Caenorhabditis elegans: one gene and its partner. The protein of the gene in region 1 interacts with the protein of each later gene in a pairwise test. Each region holds a gene or a part of one and is shown in the gene's direction. Other genes may lie near its edges.

Region 1 (8,187 bases):
TAACTGCGATTTTTTAAATTTTTTCTGCAAAAATTCAGCAAAATTGATATTTGTTGAAATTTTAGTGCAAAAAAATCAGAAAAATCGGATTTTTTTGGAATTTTAGTGCAAAAAATTGGCTAAATTGAGTTTTTTTTGGAATTTTAGTGCAACAAATCAGCAAAATTTTTTTTTTTGAATTTTTTGGCAAAAAATCAGAAACATCGGATTTTTTAAAAGACTTTTAGTGCAAAAATTCAGCAAAATTGAGATTTTCTCGAATTTTTAGGCAAAAAACAGCCTAACTGCGTTTTTTTAAAAATTTTTCTGCAAAAAACCAGCAAAATTAATTTTTGTTTTTGAAATTTTCAGGCAAAAAATCAGAAAAATCGGATTTTTTTTTTGAAATTTTAGTGCAAAAAACGAGCAAAAAGCAACTTTTTCCATAATTTTTGTGCAAAATTTTCATTTTCAGTGACTTTCTGAAGGTTTTCACTTTAAAAACAAAATTTTAACTACAAAAAATGTGAAAAATTAAAAGTTTTTCTGAATTTTCATGCAAAAATTATAACTTTTCCCATTTCCCAGAGCTTTTTCTTTAAGAAAATCGGGGGTTTTTTCTTTTTTTCTCTAATTTTTCTTGAAATGGAGTGATTTTTGCAGAAATCCTTACAAATTGAATTCAGATTTATATAAAACCGGAATTTGTCGATCAGCATCATACTGGAGATGATGCTGAGCAGCTCCGAGGCTCCGTTCGAAGCTATCCACACTTCCGATGTTGAAATAGCACGTTTGCTGAAAGAAAAAAATTCATTTTTTCACGAATTTCAGTGCAAAAACTAAAAAACTAACTCCTGCATACTTTCCAGACGAGCTAACAATTCGAACCCATCGCTTATCAACTACTTCAAGTCTCTCGACAAGTCCAGCTTCCAGGAAATCACTGTAAAACTCCTTCCAGGAAATTTCACGATACGACTGATAATCCATAAAGGCGTAGAGAGCGAGCAGAATTCCAACTGAAACGGCAATTTGTTGCCATCCTCCTGGGCTGAAAATTGGAGGAATTAGATTGATTTTAAGGGGTTTTAGAGGTTTTCTCCGTTTTTTTAAAGGTGGACTACGCTCAGTGGGTAAATTGCTTTAAAACGCGCCTATGGGGTCACATTGACCGAATATCATGATATTAAAATTCAAAAAAATTTTCCAGATTTTATATGATTTTTTGAAAATTGGAAAAATCACAGTTTTCACCTAATTATTTTTGAATTTCCGCCAATTGAATTTGTTCGGTGGAGCGCACTTGCATTATTTTTATTTATTAATTTTATTTATTCTCGTTATTTGACTGATTTTCTTCATTTTCTATGTTTTTTCCTCGGAAAATGGAAGAAATAAAAAAGACAAATGCAACATTTTTGTTAAAAAGTAATTGAAAATGAGTAAAACTGTGATATTCTGAGTTCCGACGGCAACAAGCCTGAAATTAGTATATTTCACAGTTTTACTCATTTTCAATTACTTTTTAACAAGAATTTTGCATTTGTCTTGTTTATTTCTTCCATTTTCCGAGGAGAAAACATAGAAAATGAAGAAAATCAGTCAAAGAACAAGAATTTAAAAAAATTAATTGATAAAAATACTGCAAGCACGCTCCACCGAACAAATCCAATTGGCGGAAATTCAAAAATAATTAGGTGAAAACTGTGATTTTTCCTATTTTCAAAAAATCATATAAAATCTAGAAAATTGTTTTGATTTTTTTCACATCGATATTTGGAATGAGAAGAAAATTTGGAGACATTTGAAAATATTTTCCAGATTTCGGTACCCCACTTTTAAATCTTAGAAAAGGTAAATGTGCTCAAAAGAGGCACCACGTTTTCAAGATCTAGCCGGAAACGAGATCTACGAAAAGGAGGTCTACATTTTCAGGATCTGGCACCATGCCAACTGCGGTTTTCGCAGTCTACTCGAAGAAAAAGCAACGATGCTCCGATATTACGCATCGCACGTTGTTTAGTCAGAAAAACCTTTTTTGAATAAAAACTTCTGAAAAACGCTAAACAACTCGCGATGCGTAATATCGGAGCATCGTTATTTCGATTTTCTTCGAGAAAACTGCGAAAACTGCACTTGGCACGGTGCCAGATCCTGAAAACGTAGATCTTCTTCTCGTAGATCTTGAAAACGTGGTGCCCCGCTCAAAAACATCGTGGGCGGAGCAAAAAACCGTGCCAGAATTGCAAAAATGGGCGTTTTTTTGTTTTTTTTTTCTCGGAATTTTTTTTCAACGATTTGGAAAATTCGTGATTTCATTAAATTTTGAATTTTATTGAAATGATTCCGAAATCCCGAATTTTCGATTTTTGAAAATCTGGAAAAATGGAGAAAATGCTAAAAACGCCAATTTTTGCAACTCTGGCACGGTTTTTGCTCTGCCAATAAAACTTTTTAAAAAAACTGCTAATTTTAGCTAAAATCACCAATTTATTTTAAAAATATTGGATTTTACAAGTTTTTTCCGGATCTTTGGGACAATTTTTGCCAAAAAGTTCAAAATACGGCCCGGGAAACCTGTAAAAGTCAATTTTTTGAAATACTCCAAAGAAATTCGACTAGAAATGATTTCCGGGGCTTCTCCGAGACTTCAATAAACAAAATAACGTGGTGAAAAGCATCTAAATGATGATAATTTGGGCGAAATTTCAGATTTTAGCCAAAATTAGCCGATTTTTGTGTCTATTCCTCCTCACAATTGATTAAACGGATTATTATCCTCTCCCTTATTTCCTTTGCTGTCCTTTTTGTCAGAAGATGATGAAGATTCTGGAAAAAACTTCGAATTAATGATAATTTCCCTCTGAAAACCTTTATTATCCGTCGATGCTTCCTTCCTGAAGAACTTTTTCAAATCATTTGGTTTCGAGGCGAAATATCGAATTGTCTGCTGTACTTGATTGAAGAATCGCTCTTCAAATCGCTGATCTTTTGCGAGAAGATGCAGAACTTCTTGTTGTTTTAGCACGGATTTCTGCAAAAAAATTCAGAATTTTCAGTATACTGGCAGGCGGTAATATTACATCATCTTTGGCTACTGCTGAAAATGAGCTGACTGAAAATTGGCGGGAATTGACAGATTTGAAGCATGATTCGACCGAATTTCTCAGCTGCTTCGGCGTTTTTCGGTATAATCGCCACATTTCTGCAATAGAATTTAATTATCATAATCATGCACTGCGCAAACAGTGAGAGATGACGAAATCTTCGATTTTAAGATTGAGGAACGAGGGAAAAAATTAAAAACAACCAAATTTCAGCCGTTTTCTACTTTTTCGAATATTTTTTCTCGAGAAAAATGTTTAAAATTATGCAAAATACAAGGAAAAACCATAAAGCTTCAAAAATACTGAGCACTTTTTAGAAAATAGCAAGCGCGCTCCATCGCACAAGACAATGCGCGCGTCGTTTGAAATTAGTTTCCAGTGCACAGAGCCATGACGCAAAAGTGAACGATTAGTTTGCGAAAGTACTTTGAGAAATTTTGGAAAGAAATTGGCAAAAAAAACGTTGTGAAATTAAAAATCAATGTGAATTTCCATGGAAAACAGGCATTTTTTGGGCAAATGTTTTTTTTTTGAGAAACTGACGGTATTGGTAGATTTTCAGTGTGGATAATCTATGGATTTTATTATATACTGAATTAAAATTCATTAAATAGTGTAAAAACATAATAAAATTGTGAAAATCAAACCGGAATCACGGGAAATTTGATTCAAAACATTGAAATTCGATGACGAAATAAACAAAGGTCTTACTGTAGTTTTTAAAGGCGCAAGCACATTATCCTCCTTGAGACTTGAAGCGAAAACGCTTGAAACTCAAATATTTGCAAAAACATTAATTTTTCCGGATATAAATTGTATAAATTGTTTTTCCTTAATTTTAAACGAAAATTTCAATTATTCGACGATTAAAAATAACGAAAATTTAAAAATATTGATTTTTCTAATTTAAAAAACTTTATTTTTCAGAATTTTCGAGAAAAATGGATGTTAATGAAGAACTCCCGACTTGCCCTGTGTGCCAGGAAGAATTTGGTGAAAAATATCCCAATTTTTATTGTAAAACAAGCACATTTTTATTTTCAGATGATCAAAAGGCTCCATTCATCATATCTTGTGGCCATTCTCTATGCGAAACTTGCATTGTGCACTTGAAAAGCGATTATTCTGACGCATATGGATCTGGTGGCCAGACACAATGCCCGACATGCCGCGTATGGCTTAAATATATTGATATCTGTTTAAAAATAAAATAATTTCAGGCCGTGGTTAGCAAGGAGAAGCGAACAAAAAACTTTGCATTGACAAGTTTTAAAAATATTCATATTTCCCGAAAAAAACTATTTTTCAGATGCTGTGACCATGATCCAAAAGCTTCGTGAGAAGCCAAAGAAGCCTGCAAATGCAGTGGACTGCACTCAATGCACCAAATACGACAACGAATCGGAGTAGGCCTCTTTTAATTAGAAATAACAAAAAAATTCAATTTCCAGCATGTTCGTCTGCCGCAATTGCGTCACTGATGCCTTCAAATACGACGTCGTGGAGAATTTGGGTGCCGAGGTCCGGAAAATATCCAATTTCAAAAAAAAAAAAAAAATTGAAAAATGATTTTTTAAGGTGGATTTGGATATCAAATCGTTGGCGCTTTGTGGAAGTTGTGCACTGCGATCTCATGTCACACAGGGCCACGAGACTGTGGCTTATTTCCCGGTTGCGGTATATTTAAAAAATTTATTTGTAAAGAAAAGACTTAAAATTGTAAATTTTCAGTCCGGAATGAACTTCGCAAGCCAGCTTACAAGTATTTCTCTTCTGAGAATTGAGCTCGAATCGTCGTTTGGGCTCACCAATGCGTGGTATGCTCGGTTTGCATCGACATATAAGACATTCCACACGGTGATTTTGATTTGATATTTGAAATCGATGTGCGCGGTCAAAATTTCGATTTTTCGGATATTTTCAGAGATAATCTAGGAGAAAAAATGGAAGAATACTATGAATTTATCAAAAAAAAAAGTGGATTTCGATTTAAAAAACTAATTTTTCTTCGGAAATTAGTGAAAATTCAATTTTTTTTCCTCGGAACACGAAAAATCGTTTAAAAAAATCGAAAAATTTTGATTTTTGAAAATATTTGGTGACAAAATCTTTGAAGAAGTTTTCTGTTGCTTTTCGTGATTTTTACGGAAAAATGACGTTAAAAATGCATTTAAAAACAATTTTTTCATCAATTTCGACATAAAACAATTGAAATTCGAATTTTTTGAATTTTCCAGTTTTGCCGCCATGTATACCTAACGAGACCGATAATTTGGAGGCGGAGCACATTTCCACGTTGATTTTTAAATTTTAAGGCGCATTTTTCTGCGTCTCCATATTATTTTTTCAATCAATAATCAAATAATTCCAGGAGCTCGACAAGATGACGGATATGATGAGAAAAAGCAAGTCTAGTGATGTCCAAGAGGAGTTTTCCAAGAGAATTGATCAGGAAATCAAAAGAATGTCAGATTATGTACAGTCTGTGTGCTTGGAAATTGCCAATAAGGACAAGGAATATCAAGTAAAAAATCGTCATTTTTGCGTCAAAAATACGGTTTTGGGTCTCGAAACGAAAGATTTTTGCTGGATTCGAAATGGTGTGCGCCTTTAAATAGTACTGTAATTTTTGTGAATTTTGAACAAATTGACAGAAAAAGTATGGGAAAAACATCGATTTTTCTTCGTTTTTCTGTCGAAAAAAATTCCTGTAATTTCACTTTTTGGAATTTTTTTTCGACAGAAAAACGATGAAAAATCGATGTTTTTCCCATACTTTTTTTGTCAATTTATTCAAAATTTACAAAAATTACAGTACTCTTTAAAGGCGCACACCTTCTCGCCTTCAACAAAAATCTTTCGTGTTGAGACCTGATACCGTAGTTTCGCGCAAAATTTCGCGACTGAGTAATAAATTAAATTTCAGAAATCATTCACTGCTCTCGTGGCCATCAACAAAAAGGACGAGGAGACGAAATGCCAAGAGCCCGTCGAGAAAATTTTTGAGCTCACGTGCAGCGAGTGTATGACCAAGCAGACCGTCGAAAGGTTCTTTAACTCATTTTTTGGATATTTTGGAGCCGATTTTCACAGAAAATTGAAATATTTGGAGCGTCTGCTGAGCATTTTTCGTTATTTTCAATTTAATTGACTGTTTTTTTTTAATTTCTAAAAAATATTCACAATAAAACTCAAAAAACTGAAATTTTCAGCCTGAAATTGTATGTATATTTTTTATTTGCAGCAAAAAAAGATTTTCTATTTTTTCAGACATTTTTTCCGCAAAAAATCGAGTTTTTGGCCAATTTCCGAGAAAATTTGCGCGGGAGTTCAAAAATAATTAACTTTTCTGCAAAATCAAAAAAAAAATCAATATTTTTTCCATACAGATTCCGCTGCTGCAAAACATGCATTGAAGTCGTCGGAAAACTCGTTGACAATCTTCTCGAAACAACTGAAATCGACGCAGTTGACCTTGAAACTCTGCCGATTTGCACGAATTGTATCGTCGATCATCATCATTCTGACGGCGAGCACAAGACTGTCAGATATTCTCAAGTTCAGGTAAAAACTTAATTTTACACCTAAAAAGACCAAAAATTTCTCAAAAAACGCGTATTTTCAGAACTTGCAGAAGTAAATTTTTATTTAATTATCACAATTTCTTACATTTTCGGTCGCAATGCACAAAAATCGACCAAAATGTGTAGTAAAATGTGATAAATAAATGAAAACTGACTTCTGCAAGTTCTGACTTTGTAAAGCTTTCAAAATTTGAGGTTTTAGCAAGAAAAAATGTATTTTCCCAATTTTTAAAACCGACATAATTTATAAAGAAAAAGAAAAATTCGGTAATTTTGGGTAATTTTGTGAACCAGCCTTTATTACGAGAACACAAAATTCTGATAATACAGCATATTTGACGCGCAAAATATCTCGAAGCGAAAACTACAGTAATTCTTTAAATTACTACTGTAGCGTTTGTATCGATTTACGGAAATCATTTATTAAAGCACACTTCGAACAGAAAATTGATTCGAAAATCGAGCCCGTAAATCAACACTACAGTAGTCTTTTAAAGAATTACTGTAGTTTTTGCTTCGAGATATTTTGCGCGTCAAATATGTTGTACAATACGCATTCTCAGAATTAAATGTTCCCATAATAAGAGAAATAATTAATCTTTTTTTTCAGGAAGCCTACACCTCGCTCAAGGTTTTCTCGAAAGTTGAAAAGCATAAAGATGAGATTAATATCAAATTTTCGGCTCTTCTTGACACCTTCAAACATTATATCACACAGTTGGAAGGATATGATGACGTGGGTTTCAATTAAATAATTATCTGAAATATTTAAAAATGTTCAGAAAATCACCAAGATGTCGAAAATCGCAATGGAAAGTCGTGGACATCCGGAACAAGCGGAGGTTGTCAAGGGATTTCAGAACGAGTTGGAGAAGGTTCGGAAACAAGCCTGCCGGGGTTTTCGATTTTTTGAAAAACCGAAAAGTGAAAAATTTTGCGGTCAAATTTGCTCAAAAAAGTGCAATTTCTGTTTTTTTGTATGAAATACGCGTAAACCGTAATAAAAAATATTGCATTCTTGATGAGAAATTCCGATTTTGAAGTTTTTTCAGATTTTTTTTCGGTTTTGCTCAACAAAAAAAAAAAACCGAAAAATCGAAAATTTGTTCGGAAAAGTAAAGAAAGATTATAAGAAAATTTACCATTTTCAGGCGGACCACGCAATTTCTTCTCTCCAATCGAATGCTGATATGAGCCAGACTGTCGTCAGAATGCAGCAGAAACGCCTCGACGCAGTGGAGAATGAGTTTGGAACTACTAGCGACGCATAATTATCCGACTGAGAAATGCTCAAGTTTTAAAGCTATGAATTTTATATTTAAATGAGTTTTCGAATTTTTCGGTCTGTATAACAACTTGAATAAATTAAAAAGTTGAGAACATTTCAATCATGGATTTTCCTGGCAATGGCAACTGCAGAGACGAGCGATAGCGGGATATTCGCCAGCACCCTTGATCGGAAACAAAATATTTTACAGACTTTTATGACCGGATCTTGATAAAATGGGCGAATC
Region 2 (3,203 bases), on another chromosome or scaffold:
ATCTTCCGAAATCCGGTAGCATTCAATTGCTGAAAGTTCTGAACCAGCACCAGAGAAAGATAAAACTCGGAGAATGCGAGTTTCAGCTGCTGCTCATTCCGTGTGGTCTCCTTATGGAATTTGTCTTTTCCTCCGAACCTTCTACGGATCCCTGTGGTATCGCTGCGAGACCCAAGAACATCCTTGAACACTTGTAGTTCGGTTTGAAGCTCGTGATGTTTTCCCTGTCCTTCAGCGATTTTTTGCGAGAAGAATAGGTTGATCTTGGTGAGCTCTTGGTCGCACTCGTTGAAAAATTTCTCGTCGAGCCGGGAAATGTGCTCTTCTCGGCGGTCATCGTCGGCGGGAACCTCCATCATATCATCGTATAATAGATTTTTGAGCCGCTCATAGTCAATGTATTGTTTCCGCCACTCGGGCGTCAAGTGGCTCGCTAGTTGCTCGCCGAACTTCATCTAAAATCGGGAAAATGGGAATAACTTACAACACGGCCATCGCCGGAGCCTAAATCAATGAGCGTTCCCTTCTTGTTGCTGTTGCTGCTCGTGGCGAGTGAAAGTGCGCGGGAGACGTTCGCGAGCTGCTCCGTCGTTGCTGGGACGTACGGAATGCAGACGCGTCGCAGAGCGGGCGCCACGAACGGAATTGCGGCCGCCGAGATGGCGAGCGCCGTTGCGCCAGCCACACCGGCAATCACCAGACCTGTGTTCATGCCCATACTGCAAAAAAACACAATCTCGAGGGGAACACTCATTGATTTAAATCATGATTTTTTATTTGTTTTAAAATTTATTATTTTTAAGTTTAAATTATCTTTATTTTTCAAAGGATTATTGTTTTTGAATATTTAAAATTAAAATTCATACCCACCTTTATTCTTCAATCGATTTTCTTCGGAATAAGATGAAGTTTCTCATCAACGATTCAAATTTTCTACCTGAAAACAGAAAAAAAATGTTTAAAACGATTTTCAGGCCTAAAACAGTGCAAAACACTGGAAATATATCGATTTACGCATAAATTGCACTCGACAGAATCAAAATTTAAATTCGTACTTTTCGCGAAAAAGAGATAGACAACGAAATTCGATAAGGGCACATGCGACTAAAAATCGGGAGCTCAGTGCACCGGAAGTGCGCAAGCAGTTGATGATTGCGCAAACGAGTGGCTACTGGCGCGTTTTCGGATGGGTCGGATTTATTTTCTGCAATTTCTGTGCGATTTTTATTAATTTTTTGCGTTTCCCACCGTATTTTCCAACCAAATTTCTGAATTTTTATATAAAATTGTCGTAATTTGCATGGTTCCGACGTTGAAAATCACCAAAACCCAGGTTAAAATTCGTTTTTTAAAAAGGGGGTTTACTTTATAAAGATATGCAATTTTGGAATTTCAGTTTTGCTAATTTTTCGTGGTTTCTTAGAGTTTTTCTATTGAAGATTGTTAAAGATCTTGTAAAGAAGATGTTAAGTCGGTAAACATTGCAAAACTTTTAATTTTCCTCAATTTTCGCTAATTTTTTGCGTTTCTTTATGATTTTTATTTTAAAATTAGGTTTTTCGGGTATCGATTTGTTAATTTTTTAGCTAAAAATATATTACATAAACAAAAGTTTCTTCAAACTTATATTTCTCTCTTATTCCGATTAAAAACTAAATTACCTTTCAACTTCCAGGTAAATATGTTGTCCAGAACACTCCGACCGATCTCCAAGGTGCTCAGAAGCAGCGCGAAGTACTCCCAGGCCGCAGGTAATCTGAAAATTAAGATTTTCCTCAAAATCATATCAAAATTTTCAGGTCTTCCATTAAACGAGGGAAGCCCGGCACCATTGCCATCAGAAGACAGAGCAATCTCCGCAAAAGTCAGCTCGTTGGTTGAAGAAATCGCGAATCTCAGCCTGCTCGACGTCTCCGATCTTAACTGGGCTCTCAAGAAGCGGCTCAACATTCCAGATCAACCATTGATGGCTGCTGCCGCTGCTGCTCCAGCCGCTCAGGGTAAACATTATTTATTATAGTTTAATAAAATTATTTATTTATTTTCATTATTTTTCAGCCGAAGCGGAAGCCGCATCAGACGTTCCACAAAAAATGACATTCACTGTGAAATTAACGAAATTCGATGATACCAAGAAGATCGCAATCATCAAGGAGATCCGTAACGCCATTCCAGGCCTCAATCTCGTTCAGGCCAAGAAGTTTGTGGAAACCGCACCGGTAAATGTTAAGGAGGATCTTGGAAAGGCAGAAGCCGATGAGTTGAAGGCTATTCTGGAGAAGGCTGGAGCTACCATTGAAATTGTTTAATTTTTTGTTCTATATTTCCCTCTTTTCATTTGTTGTGTTCTCATTTTCTTCAAATTTTTCGTAGATAGTGTAGCATTTCTTTTTGTTAAGTTTTATTTTATTTTATGGAAAAATAATTAATTTCAAAAATAATTAAATTTACACCCGGCAAGAAGAGAAATACACGTCCCATGATAGAAATACTATTGGATAGATTCTGGAGAAGCTGCTGGAGAAGATCAAAAATCGGTAGTCTCATTTGAAGAAGTGTCAAGACCTGCAATTTGGGAAAATTACCGGAAGCCTGTATGGGTACAAACCTCCGCGTCCGAATACTTTCAGCGACATTCCGAATTGAAGAACTCGCATATCCTTTTCGGATAATTGGCCGAACGAGATCGCGTGGTCGGAACATTTTCCGGCTTTTGTGGGACTTGAACGGAACAATTTCGAGTCTGGCGCAATTATTTGTTTTGGTGGAAGATCGTTGAATAGTCGGAGAGCATCTTCATCAAATGGATCAGCTATCTGGACACCGTACTTCTCGCTGCAGTCGTAGAGAGCGAAATCCGAGGCTCGCGAGAAGAAAAATCCTCTGAAAATCATGAAATCAAACATTTTTAGAATTTATTCGGGAGTTTTCCAGAAGTAATTCTCTGATTTTCGATTTTTTAGTCTTCAAAAACTTTCGGTAATTTTGCAAATTAAATTTGTTACACTGATGCAAAACTTTGCGATATTTGCCCCAGAATTACGGTACCCGGTCTTGATACGACATTTTTTTGCTAATGTTGAAAGGTCTGCGCCTTTAAAGATTAGTGAAATTTCAAACTTGTGCTGCTGTGGAGTTTTATCGCTTTTTCATTGTTTTCTGCTGATTTATTTTTTAAACATACATATTAACAATCGTGAGAA

The links.
Region 2: the proteins of Y47G6A.14 (region 1) and mrpl-12 interact in a two-hybrid assay, tested with the Caenorhabditis elegans proteins (2 studies listed by BioGRID).

What each region holds. Positions count from the first base shown.
Region 1 is NC_003279.8:3,462,132-3,470,318, reverse strand, and holds Y47G6A.14 (RING-type domain-containing protein), read left to right. Parts: upstream 1-2,131; 5' UTR 2,132-2,197; intron 2,198-2,738; coding exon of another isoform or gene 2,739-2,811; intron 2,812-2,853; coding exon of another isoform or gene 2,854-3,016; intron 3,017-3,065; coding exon of another isoform or gene 3,066-3,185; exon of another isoform or gene 3,186-3,187; intron 3,188-4,016; 5' UTR 4,017-4,030; coding exon 4,031-4,082; intron 4,083-4,133; coding exon 4,134-4,261; intron 4,262-4,309; coding exon 4,310-4,355; intron 4,356-4,398; coding exon 4,399-4,495; intron 4,496-4,540; coding exon 4,541-4,610; intron 4,611-4,667; coding exon 4,668-4,766; intron 4,767-4,820; coding exon 4,821-4,946; intron 4,947-5,460; coding exon 5,461-5,613; intron 5,614-6,015; coding exon 6,016-6,137; intron 6,138-6,478; coding exon 6,479-6,653; intron 6,654-7,283; coding exon 7,284-7,409; intron 7,410-7,455; coding exon 7,456-7,548; intron 7,549-7,824; coding exon 7,825-7,944; 3' UTR 7,945-8,049; downstream 8,050-8,187. Other genes in the region: AFG3-like protein spg-7, read right to left, coding at 653-777, 835-1,033, 2,739-2,811, 2,854-3,016, 3,066-3,185.
Region 2 is NC_003281.10:10,706,086-10,709,288, forward strand, and holds mrpl-12 (Mitochondrial Ribosomal Protein, Large), read left to right. Parts: upstream 1-1,675; 5' UTR 1,676-1,681; coding exon 1,682-1,751; intron 1,752-1,799; coding exon 1,800-2,000; intron 2,001-2,058; coding exon 2,059-2,309; 3' UTR 2,310-2,436; downstream 2,437-3,203. Other genes in the region: Y39A1A.21 (ATP synthase subunit C lysine N-methyltransferase), read right to left, coding at 485-718; Y39A1A.22 (Xenotropic and polytropic retrovirus receptor 1 homolog), read right to left, coding at 1-455; W09D10.5 (N-acetylgalactosaminide beta-1,3-galactosyltransferase), read right to left, coding at 2,528-2,565, 2,609-2,883.